Mus musculus: one gene and its partner. The protein of the gene in region 1 purifies or fractionates together with the protein of each later gene. This does not show direct contact. Links are inferred from orthologs where the notes say so. Each region holds a gene or a part of one and is shown on either strand. Other genes may lie near its edges.

Region 1 (3,988 bases):
CACAAGAACAGGCTCCAAAGAGAGGCTGAGGGCAGGAGAAAGTCTTCCCCAGAAGAGCCCAGTACCAAACGGTCAGCCCTGAGCTTACCTACTAGTAACATCACACAGACTATGTATGCAACAATGAAAAAAAAATGAGACAGAGAAACTATGAAATTGAAAGAGTGCAAATGGCAGGGATTGGAGGGAGGAAGAGGGAAATGATTTATTATATTTATATTTATTATAATTTCAAGAAATAAAAAATAATTTTAAAATATTTTAAATGCTAGATATTAGATAGTAAAAAAAAAAAAATAGCTCAAATAGCTCATTACTCTGTGGCCATTATATTATGATTTCCTAACAGTTTATAAAAAGCACAACAGTGAAACTCCGGTCTACAATCCCAAGGAAACTTGACTCTAAGATCCAAAACTGCAAAACTGTCACTCATCTTTTGAATTTAGAATCAAGATATTTCATTCAAAGTTTTTCAGTGGTTTCAAAATTCATATGGATTATCAAGTACCACTGTTGGTGAAAGTGGGTTGGTGGGACTTTACCACAGATTCTAAATATCAGCATAATAAAAAAAAATATTAAAAGCAAAGCAAGTACTTATTCCTAGGACAGAGCTTTACTTAACAAACGGAGAAAGGAAAAGGTTTTGCTTTAAACTGGAATGGGAATCTTTTTTTTGAGCTGACTCATGGCAGAATTCCCAGGCCCTCCCAGTTTTCGCTCTAATGGACTCTTTAGTAAGATACCAACTGATGCGACCTACAGGAGAACCATTGCTTGATTTTTGTATTCACAGCCCAGAAACCACTGACAGTGTAGGTTCTGACTGGGATTAGATAGAACAGTTTCCTGTCCACTTTTTCTTGCCTTCTTGGCATGCATTTGTTTTCTATACATAAACATTTATCTCCCTTTGAATCTGTTTCCCAGTTGTTAAATAGGGGCTCGGTCTGGCCTGGTGGCACATGCCTTTAGTTCTGCCACTCTGGAGGCAAGTGTATCTCAAAGACCAAGTGAGGGGTACTCAGTGAGACCTACTCCCACCCAACTGCTCAAAATGGAAGAACCCAACTCTCCTCCACAAAGACATGGAATTGGACACCAGGTACACACACAAATAGATGCACACAGCTATGAAGATGCATAGCCAATGCATGAGGTGGTACTACACCCTCATGTGGATGTTAGCATATGAACAAAAACCACCCAATAAAATAACAAATGTTAGTGAATGTGTGGAGAAATGGCACCTTTTGTGCAATTCTTGTGGAAACGGTAGCTTCCTAAGACTTTCCCTATTATTTGGCAATTACACGGACTAAAAACATGCCCACAAAACAAAACTTGTTTACAAGAAATCACAATCGGCAAGATGGAGAAACAGAAGAGTAGGAATTCCATCTGTACAATGGGACAGTATTCAACCACCCAAAGGAATGCCATACTGATACCACGACTGAACTAGAAAATCCTAAGGCTCCAGCCTAAGTAGATGGAGCACCTACAATGGATTTCTATTTAAGGAAACGAAAATAGTCTGCAACTAGGTAACACTGATGGTTGTACGACAGAAAAAGTTGAATTTCACATCTTAATATGATTGAATAAGGTGAATTTTAATCTCAGAAGAAAAACATGCCCCTATATGCATAGCTCCAAGTCTAAAGTCCCTTCTCTTTTGGAGACAATTAATGCTGCACAACTGTTAAGCCACCCTCTCCACTCTCCCAGTGAGCACGTGGTGCCTGCCTATCTTGTCGCAAGATACCCAGATGAATACTTTAACTTCCTAATTTTTATGTGTTTAAAGCCCATGATTTCTAAGTGAGGGAGAAGTTTCCGAAAAGCAAATCTTAACAGCCAATGTTTCTGTGAAAACAATATGTCAATCACATAAAACCTGTATTGGCCAAAACCCGGCAATTCAATTACTCTTGCTATGGAGACCTCGAGGATCCAAAAAGTCAAGTCATTCACATTCATTTTTTACAAATCTAAAAACACACGCCAGGCAATTTCCTAGTCGTACCTACTGCTCAATTCCCAGTAACTTTTTAAAAATTGCTTTTATACATAAAGACTGGGGGTATACCGGAACGGTAGAGAGCTTGCCTAGCGTGTGTAAGGCCTGCAGGTCCGCCACTGGCACTGCTAAATAAAAACTGAAACCATAAGCACTGTCCAGGGCGTTTAGAAATAATACAGAGAATGTATGTATAACCACCTATAAAATGAAAGCGGTGACCATGACTAGTCATGCGGGCATGGGAATTCCTTCCCATGGCCCCCGGCCCGGAGCTCAGAGCTTTGCAGGAAGGTTTCTGATCCCTGGCCAGGAACCGGGAGCCGAGAAGACCTCAGGCAATGGAGAGAGGGGACCGCCACCCGCGAGCCTACCACGAACCGCGCCAAAAATTGGGATCCAGACACACCCCCGACCTTCCAGCCGCGGCCGGGACACTCAGGCCCAGGCAGGCGGCGGCGTAGAGGCCGCGGGCCCGCGACGGGGGCAGAGCCGAGGACATCAGCCCCGGGAAAGCAGCCGCCGCCCGGCGGCGCGAGCCGGTGGGTCCAGGCCGACCCCTACCTCTTCCAAAACGGAAGCCATGCCGTCGCGCGTCAGACCCGAGGCCGGAGCTGCAGCGGTGCACCGAAGCAGACAGGAAAAGCCGAACACGCCACCCACGAGCGTCGCAGCGCCGGCAGCGAGCTCCACAGACCCGGCGCGACACGGCGGCCCGCCCTCCGCACGAGACGGCTCTGGAACCTTCGCAAGGCTCCACCGGAGCCTCCCAAGGCCCCGCCCCTCCGAGTCTAGTCCCGCCCCCAGGCTGGTTGCCTAGCAACGCTCAATTCTCGCGAGCGATCGAATGCTCAGGAGGCGTCCAGCCACTTCCTTCCGCCCCAGCGATTGAGACGTCGTTCCGCGCCGGCAGAACCGGGCTGCGCAGTCGCAGCTCGCAACCGCGGCCAGACCTAGCCCCGGAACTAACCTTCAAAGGTTTGGGGACCCGATAGGAAGTGTCTCGAGAAGGGCTGCTTCCGCTGGTGCGATGCGGAGTTGCCAGGCCGCCATCTTGTCTTCGGCAGCTCTGAGGTATCGGGAAAGAACAAAGGAGCGCCCCCAAAGAAGCACAACTACCATCAAAAAAGGACGGATTTGTTAAGGGAGGAAGGCTCCTAAGTAGAACAATGGCTTTAAGTGGGCCTTGGGTTTCTGGAGGCGTCCTGCGTCTAGCACCGTTGACGTGGCGCCATCTCGTGGGACTGTAGGAAGGTTGCACGGGCTTCCTGACTGGCTCTGGGCGCCGTGGTGGAAAGCGGCACGGTTTCAAGTGGCCGAACGCTCCATTCTCCCTTGCCTATATGAGCTCTTGATACGAAGTTTTCCACTGCCTTCGCTCTTTACTAGCGGTTTATTTTGTATTTTCAGCAGGGTTTGGATTGAGTGAATTTCCACGTAAAATGTGGAGGAATTCTTAGGACTTTGGGTTGCAGCAGCCCGGATTAGTAAACCCCCAGCGTAAAACCGTTTTTCAAATTATCTTAATTATGACAGCATAGAGACGTCCATAACACCCAGTAAACCGAGACAGAAAACAAACAGTACCCATTGGGAGGTAGAGCAATCTGCTGTCAGCTTACAGATGCTTAGGGGAGTTACTAGCATCAGCAAGTCAAGGAAAATGCTGCTACACTACACTTTATATTAATGTAACATTAAGGCATGCAACCTGTACGAACTTCTCACACAAACTTGCACAAAATGACAAGTTAGACAGGGATGTATGTCGTGTATAGTTGCAACTTAAATAAAAGTCTCAAACCACCAGTCCCATGGCCTATAGTGATAAAAATAAAAACAATCCTTTTCTGGAGTGGACAATGACAGAAAGGTGCCACCCTTTGAAGTTTATGAAAAGGTGAAATAAAAAGGAGGAGGACATGGCTACTTCTAAAGTATGGAGAAGATTTTTTTTATTAT
Region 2 (4,358 bases), on another chromosome or scaffold:
ATGAGAGACCCAGAGTCTGTCACAAGAATATACAGTTGTTCCACACATACACGCACTGCTCCAAAGCAGGTACGTAGTCATCCTTGGGCTCTAAATCACCACATAGATAAGCAAATCAACAAAAGCCGGACCCAATCACACACTATCAGACACGCAGCTTATCACTGAAAGTATCCAGACAAACTACAGATGTACTGTCACTGAGAGACCCACGCAAACATGCATTTCTTTCTCTCGGATACCAGACACAAACTGTCATAGGCAGAGTCCCACACTCAGTCACCATCTGATACACCTGGAAACAAGCCTCATCGGAAACAGACACATCCACACTCAACCAGAGACACTGGAATTCAGAGAAACTGGTTGACTCAAGACTCAATGTAGTCACAGGCACAGACAATACACGCAAAGCAGAAAAGGTAACACATAATGTCCCTTACTCAGCCAGCATCCCTAGGTGTCTCCCTATGATCCTGACAGGCTTTAGTGGAGGGGAGATCTTAAGACACACACAAACAAGATAAGTAAGCATCACAGCCCCAGCCCAGAAGTTTATTTATAGTACAGTTCTTCGGAATAGTCGTAGACAGAAGGGAGAGTGCCAATGGGATCACACAGGGTTTTTTCAGGTGATCCCTTTGTCTTGCTGAAGATAGGGTTAGGGCAAATTGCAAGTAAAAGCCAAGAGTAGCAAGAGTCAGGCTGAGGCCAAATGGTACAAACTTACAAAATACGGTAATACCCCCACCCCTAAAGTCTGGTAAGAACCCCAACATTTGTGCTCTAAGAGTGTACCAGGTACTGTTCCCAGTAGTACATTATTGACCATACACATTCTCTGTCAATACTCACAAATCAGAGAGCATGAGGTAGCAGACATTAATGACCCCTGTAGTTGCAGATGGGACACTTTAAAGTCAAAGAGAGCCCAAAGCCACACAGTGAGACAAGGCAGGTAGATTTGAAATGAATCAACCCTCTTGGCGTGCTCATGCTTGACCACGTATTTCAGATATCCTGTAGCCACCCACTGGGCAAGCCATACCCTCACCGTAGGGCCACCCTACACAGCCTTCTTCTGAAAGGACCTCACTGAGGCATTGGGGAGTGGGAGAAGACTGCTCTGAGGAAACCTGAGGGCCAGCCAGCCTTCTCTAGCTGGGCTTTACAAACCCTAGCAGGGGTATGGACAGAGGTGTCAACAGACCTGAGGAACAAACAACAAAAAAAGGATTTAGCCATTTCATCCTCCAACGTTTAAAACCCAGTTGGGCAAGGGCCACCTCTGGTCACTGAACTCATTAGTGATTGCTTATTTCATCAGATTATCACAAGAATGAATGAGCATTAAGGTTGAGAGTAGAAATTCAGACACCAGTCTTGGCCTCTGGCTCATACAGTCCTTTAAATTAGCCCTAGGCTCCCTAATGCAAATATGGTAGGTGGGAGTAGGGACTTCAGTTTCAGTCGATTTGGTTCTGAAGTTTATGATTTTTAATAAAAGCGTCTTGCTGTATAGCCCAGCTGGCCTGCAACTCAAAAGATCCACCTCTGCCTCTGCCCTCCTCAGTGCTGGGATCAAAGGCATGACCACGACCAGTTGTAGAGTTGTTGTTGGTTTTGTTCTTTTAAGAAACAATCTTGGTTATGTGGGTTAGGTTAGTCTTAACCCACCTGGGCTCTAGAGATTCTCTGCCATCAGTCTCAAGACAAGAAGTTAATTTAATAAACAGAAGATCAAATATGAACCCCAGCTTACAGAGAGCACCTACTGGAGAACAAGCAGACCTCTGGTCAAAGCAAATCCTGTGCTTCCCAGAGGCCCATCCACCCGTGTCCCACACAGAATAGAGTTGCTCAGGGAAACTGACATTTGGTTTTATTGTGCCAAGGACATTACAGATGGTGGATCTTGTCAACACCTGCAGTGCACGGGTGCCCCATCTGCTGAGGCTGCTCCCACTCCCTAAATTCAAATCTTGGGTAGTGGCCCTAATTTCCCAAGACACCCCACCTCAAGCCTTCCAAACAGACTAGCGGTGGTGAAGGCAAAGCAATGCAGCAAGGTCAGGGTCTCACTGTCCAAAGTCAGTCTGCCACCTGCAATGCCTGTCACCTCCCTCTACCTCATAGCCTTTGCCCTTCCAAGGAACTAGGGGCCAAAAGACAGCAGAAATCCATCTTTTTTCTGCCCTTTCTGTCCCATGGCCAGCCTGCCTAGCTCCAAACCAGAGATGCCACCCTCAAAGGACCAACGTTGCCATGAATATTCTTTTTGATTTGTTGATTTTGTGAAATAAAGCACATTTTAATTAAGAAAAATTTTAACATTGAAGGCTCAGATTCTTCGGATACTAGAAGGAAAACTTGCCACTTCCATTTTCCTGTCATCATTGCTGGGAAGGGATGACAAGTTTATCTGATCTTTAAGGAAGGGTGAGCAGAAGACTTCCTTTGTCTGAATGTCTCTCTTCTGGGGCTGCCTGGCTGCCAGATGGTCTGTCTCTGTGGGCCTCTTGCCTACCTTCCGCACCCTTTCCAGAGTCCCCTGTGGAATGCTGAGATGGTGCTGTGCGGGGGCAATAGGGCACTTCAGCTGGCAGAGACCAATGGTGGTGGCAGGGATGAGATGGATGGAGCGCATGGGTGGGCCGGCCAGAGGGAAGTGGAAAAAAAAAAGGAAAAGAGGAAACAAAAGAAGGAAGCCAAGAGGGAAGAAAGCCAAAGAAGTTTGGGTGGCATCAAAGGGCAGGAGTGGGGGATCGGGAATGATGTCCAGTCCCTGGGTGTCCATCAACTCTTGTCTGGGGGTGGCTCTCTGTGCACTTTGTTTTTCTTCATACTGTCTAGGTATTCCTGTTGGGACACTGCCAGCACCGATGCTAGGATCTCATCATCGTCCCAATCATTCAGACCTGCTGGGCAGGAGAGAGAAGAGGACAACGATGATGGGGGGCCTCAGGTCACTTTCCCTGATTTCTGTCTGATCCCTGGCTCTGGAAAAGTCCGTTCAGGTCCCAATCACTCATTGACTCCCTCAACTCTGTGAAGCCCCACTAGACCCACTGTGGAGAAAATCTTTGGGGCCTGAAATTTTCCCTCATGCCTCTGATTTGGGAGAGATGGCCAGGGGCTTCAAAAAATCCTCCGGGCTCTCCCAACTTCCAGCTGGCCCATCCCCTAAGGAGGCTTACCAAAGGCAGAGGGGGACATCTGCTGGATGAGGGCCCGGCACTCCAGAGCAGGGTAGAGGGACACAAGAGGAGAGGTGGCCCGATCACCCCCTGCTGAGAACTGACTGCTTGTACCTGAGGCAGATGGACAATCAGAGGTAGGGCCCAGCAAGCAGAGCCTCTTAGCCCAAGCAGGCACCCTGAAAGCAAGCCACTGACCTGGTGCACAGGGTGAAGGAGGTTTGGCAAGAGCTAACACAGTGCCTGGGGAAGGGGGCTTAATGCCTAGCTCGGCATGCAGTTCAGGGTGCTCAGGTGACGAGGCTGAACTTCGTTGCCGTGGGGACCGACTAGTCCATTCCTCCAGGCCACTGGAGGCTGCTGCTGTGGCTGAACTGCATGTGGCACTGGCTTTCCGGGGCTGCAGTAGGGAAGGAAAAAGTGATAAGGACCTACACCAGCTATGACCCTCCTGTGCCAGAGTGATTATACCCTTTCCAGAATCCTGGCTATAGCACAGCTTTAATGTATCACGGTGGACTACTGGGAGATTCTTAACTAGCCTCATATCCTTGCAGGCATCTGACAAAGTCCTATTCTTTTAAGAGATTGTGATTCCATAGCACGCCTGTAGTACCCTCACCTGTCACTGGGACTCCCTTGGGAGCCTCCTCCTCACTGATCTCATACTTCAACCCTGCTTTCTCCCTCAGATTTGCTCTATAATCGGTCAGGGTGATCCTGTCAAGTCCTAACTCGAATCCTTTTTGTGTTTACAGCCCACCCCCCATGGTTTCTGTCTCATTGAGAGCAAAATCAAAGTCCTCTCCAGAATTCACAAGTCACCATCCAACCTAGCCCCACTACCCTGATCTCACCCTCGTTCTGTTCAGCTACAGACTCTGAGTTATACCAACTCCACTGCCCTCACCCCCAGCTACCAAATCCCCTTTTTATAGGCTGCCCCCACCTCATCTGCTGAGGCCTACCCCGACGACTGTTTAATACCGTGAACTCAGACCATCTCCACTCAGTCTCAATTGTCCCCTGTACCAAGTGTCCATTTTTCATCCACCATACCTCCAACTAATTTATTCATTATGAGCATTTTATTTCACTTAGTAAAACTGTGAGTAGCCTAAGGATAGGTACTTTGGCCTGCTAGGTTCACAATGTAGCCCG

Evidence for each region. The genes of interacting proteins can lie anywhere in the genome.
Region 2: the proteins of Cacybp (region 1) and Otud5 purify together in Homo sapiens (affinity purification with mass spectrometry; 4 studies listed by BioGRID and IntAct, with this or other methods). This does not show direct contact. The link is inferred for Mus musculus from reciprocal best matches to the Homo sapiens genes CACYBP and OTUD5.

The regions. Positions count from the first base shown.
Region 1 is NC_000067.6:160,210,057-160,214,044, forward strand, and holds the start of Cacybp (calcyclin-binding protein), read right to left. Parts: upstream 2,837-3,988; 5' UTR 2,612-2,836; coding exon 2,591-2,611; intron 1-2,590. UniProt on the Homo sapiens protein: May be involved in calcium-dependent ubiquitination and subsequent proteasomal degradation of target proteins. Probably serves as a molecular bridge in ubiquitin E3 complexes. Participates in the ubiquitin-mediated degradation of beta-catenin (CTNNB1).
Region 2 is NC_000086.7:7,872,793-7,877,150, reverse strand, and holds the end of Otud5 (OTU domain-containing protein 5), read right to left. Parts: intron 3,598-4,358; coding exon 3,396-3,597; intron 3,312-3,395; coding exon 3,198-3,311; intron 2,922-3,197; coding exon of another isoform or gene 2,919-2,921; coding exon 2,797-2,918; 3' UTR 525-2,796; downstream 1-524. UniProt on the Homo sapiens protein: Deubiquitinating enzyme that functions as a negative regulator of the innate immune system. Has peptidase activity towards 'Lys-48'- and 'Lys-63'-linked polyubiquitin chains. Can also cleave 'Lys-11'-linked ubiquitin chains (in vitro).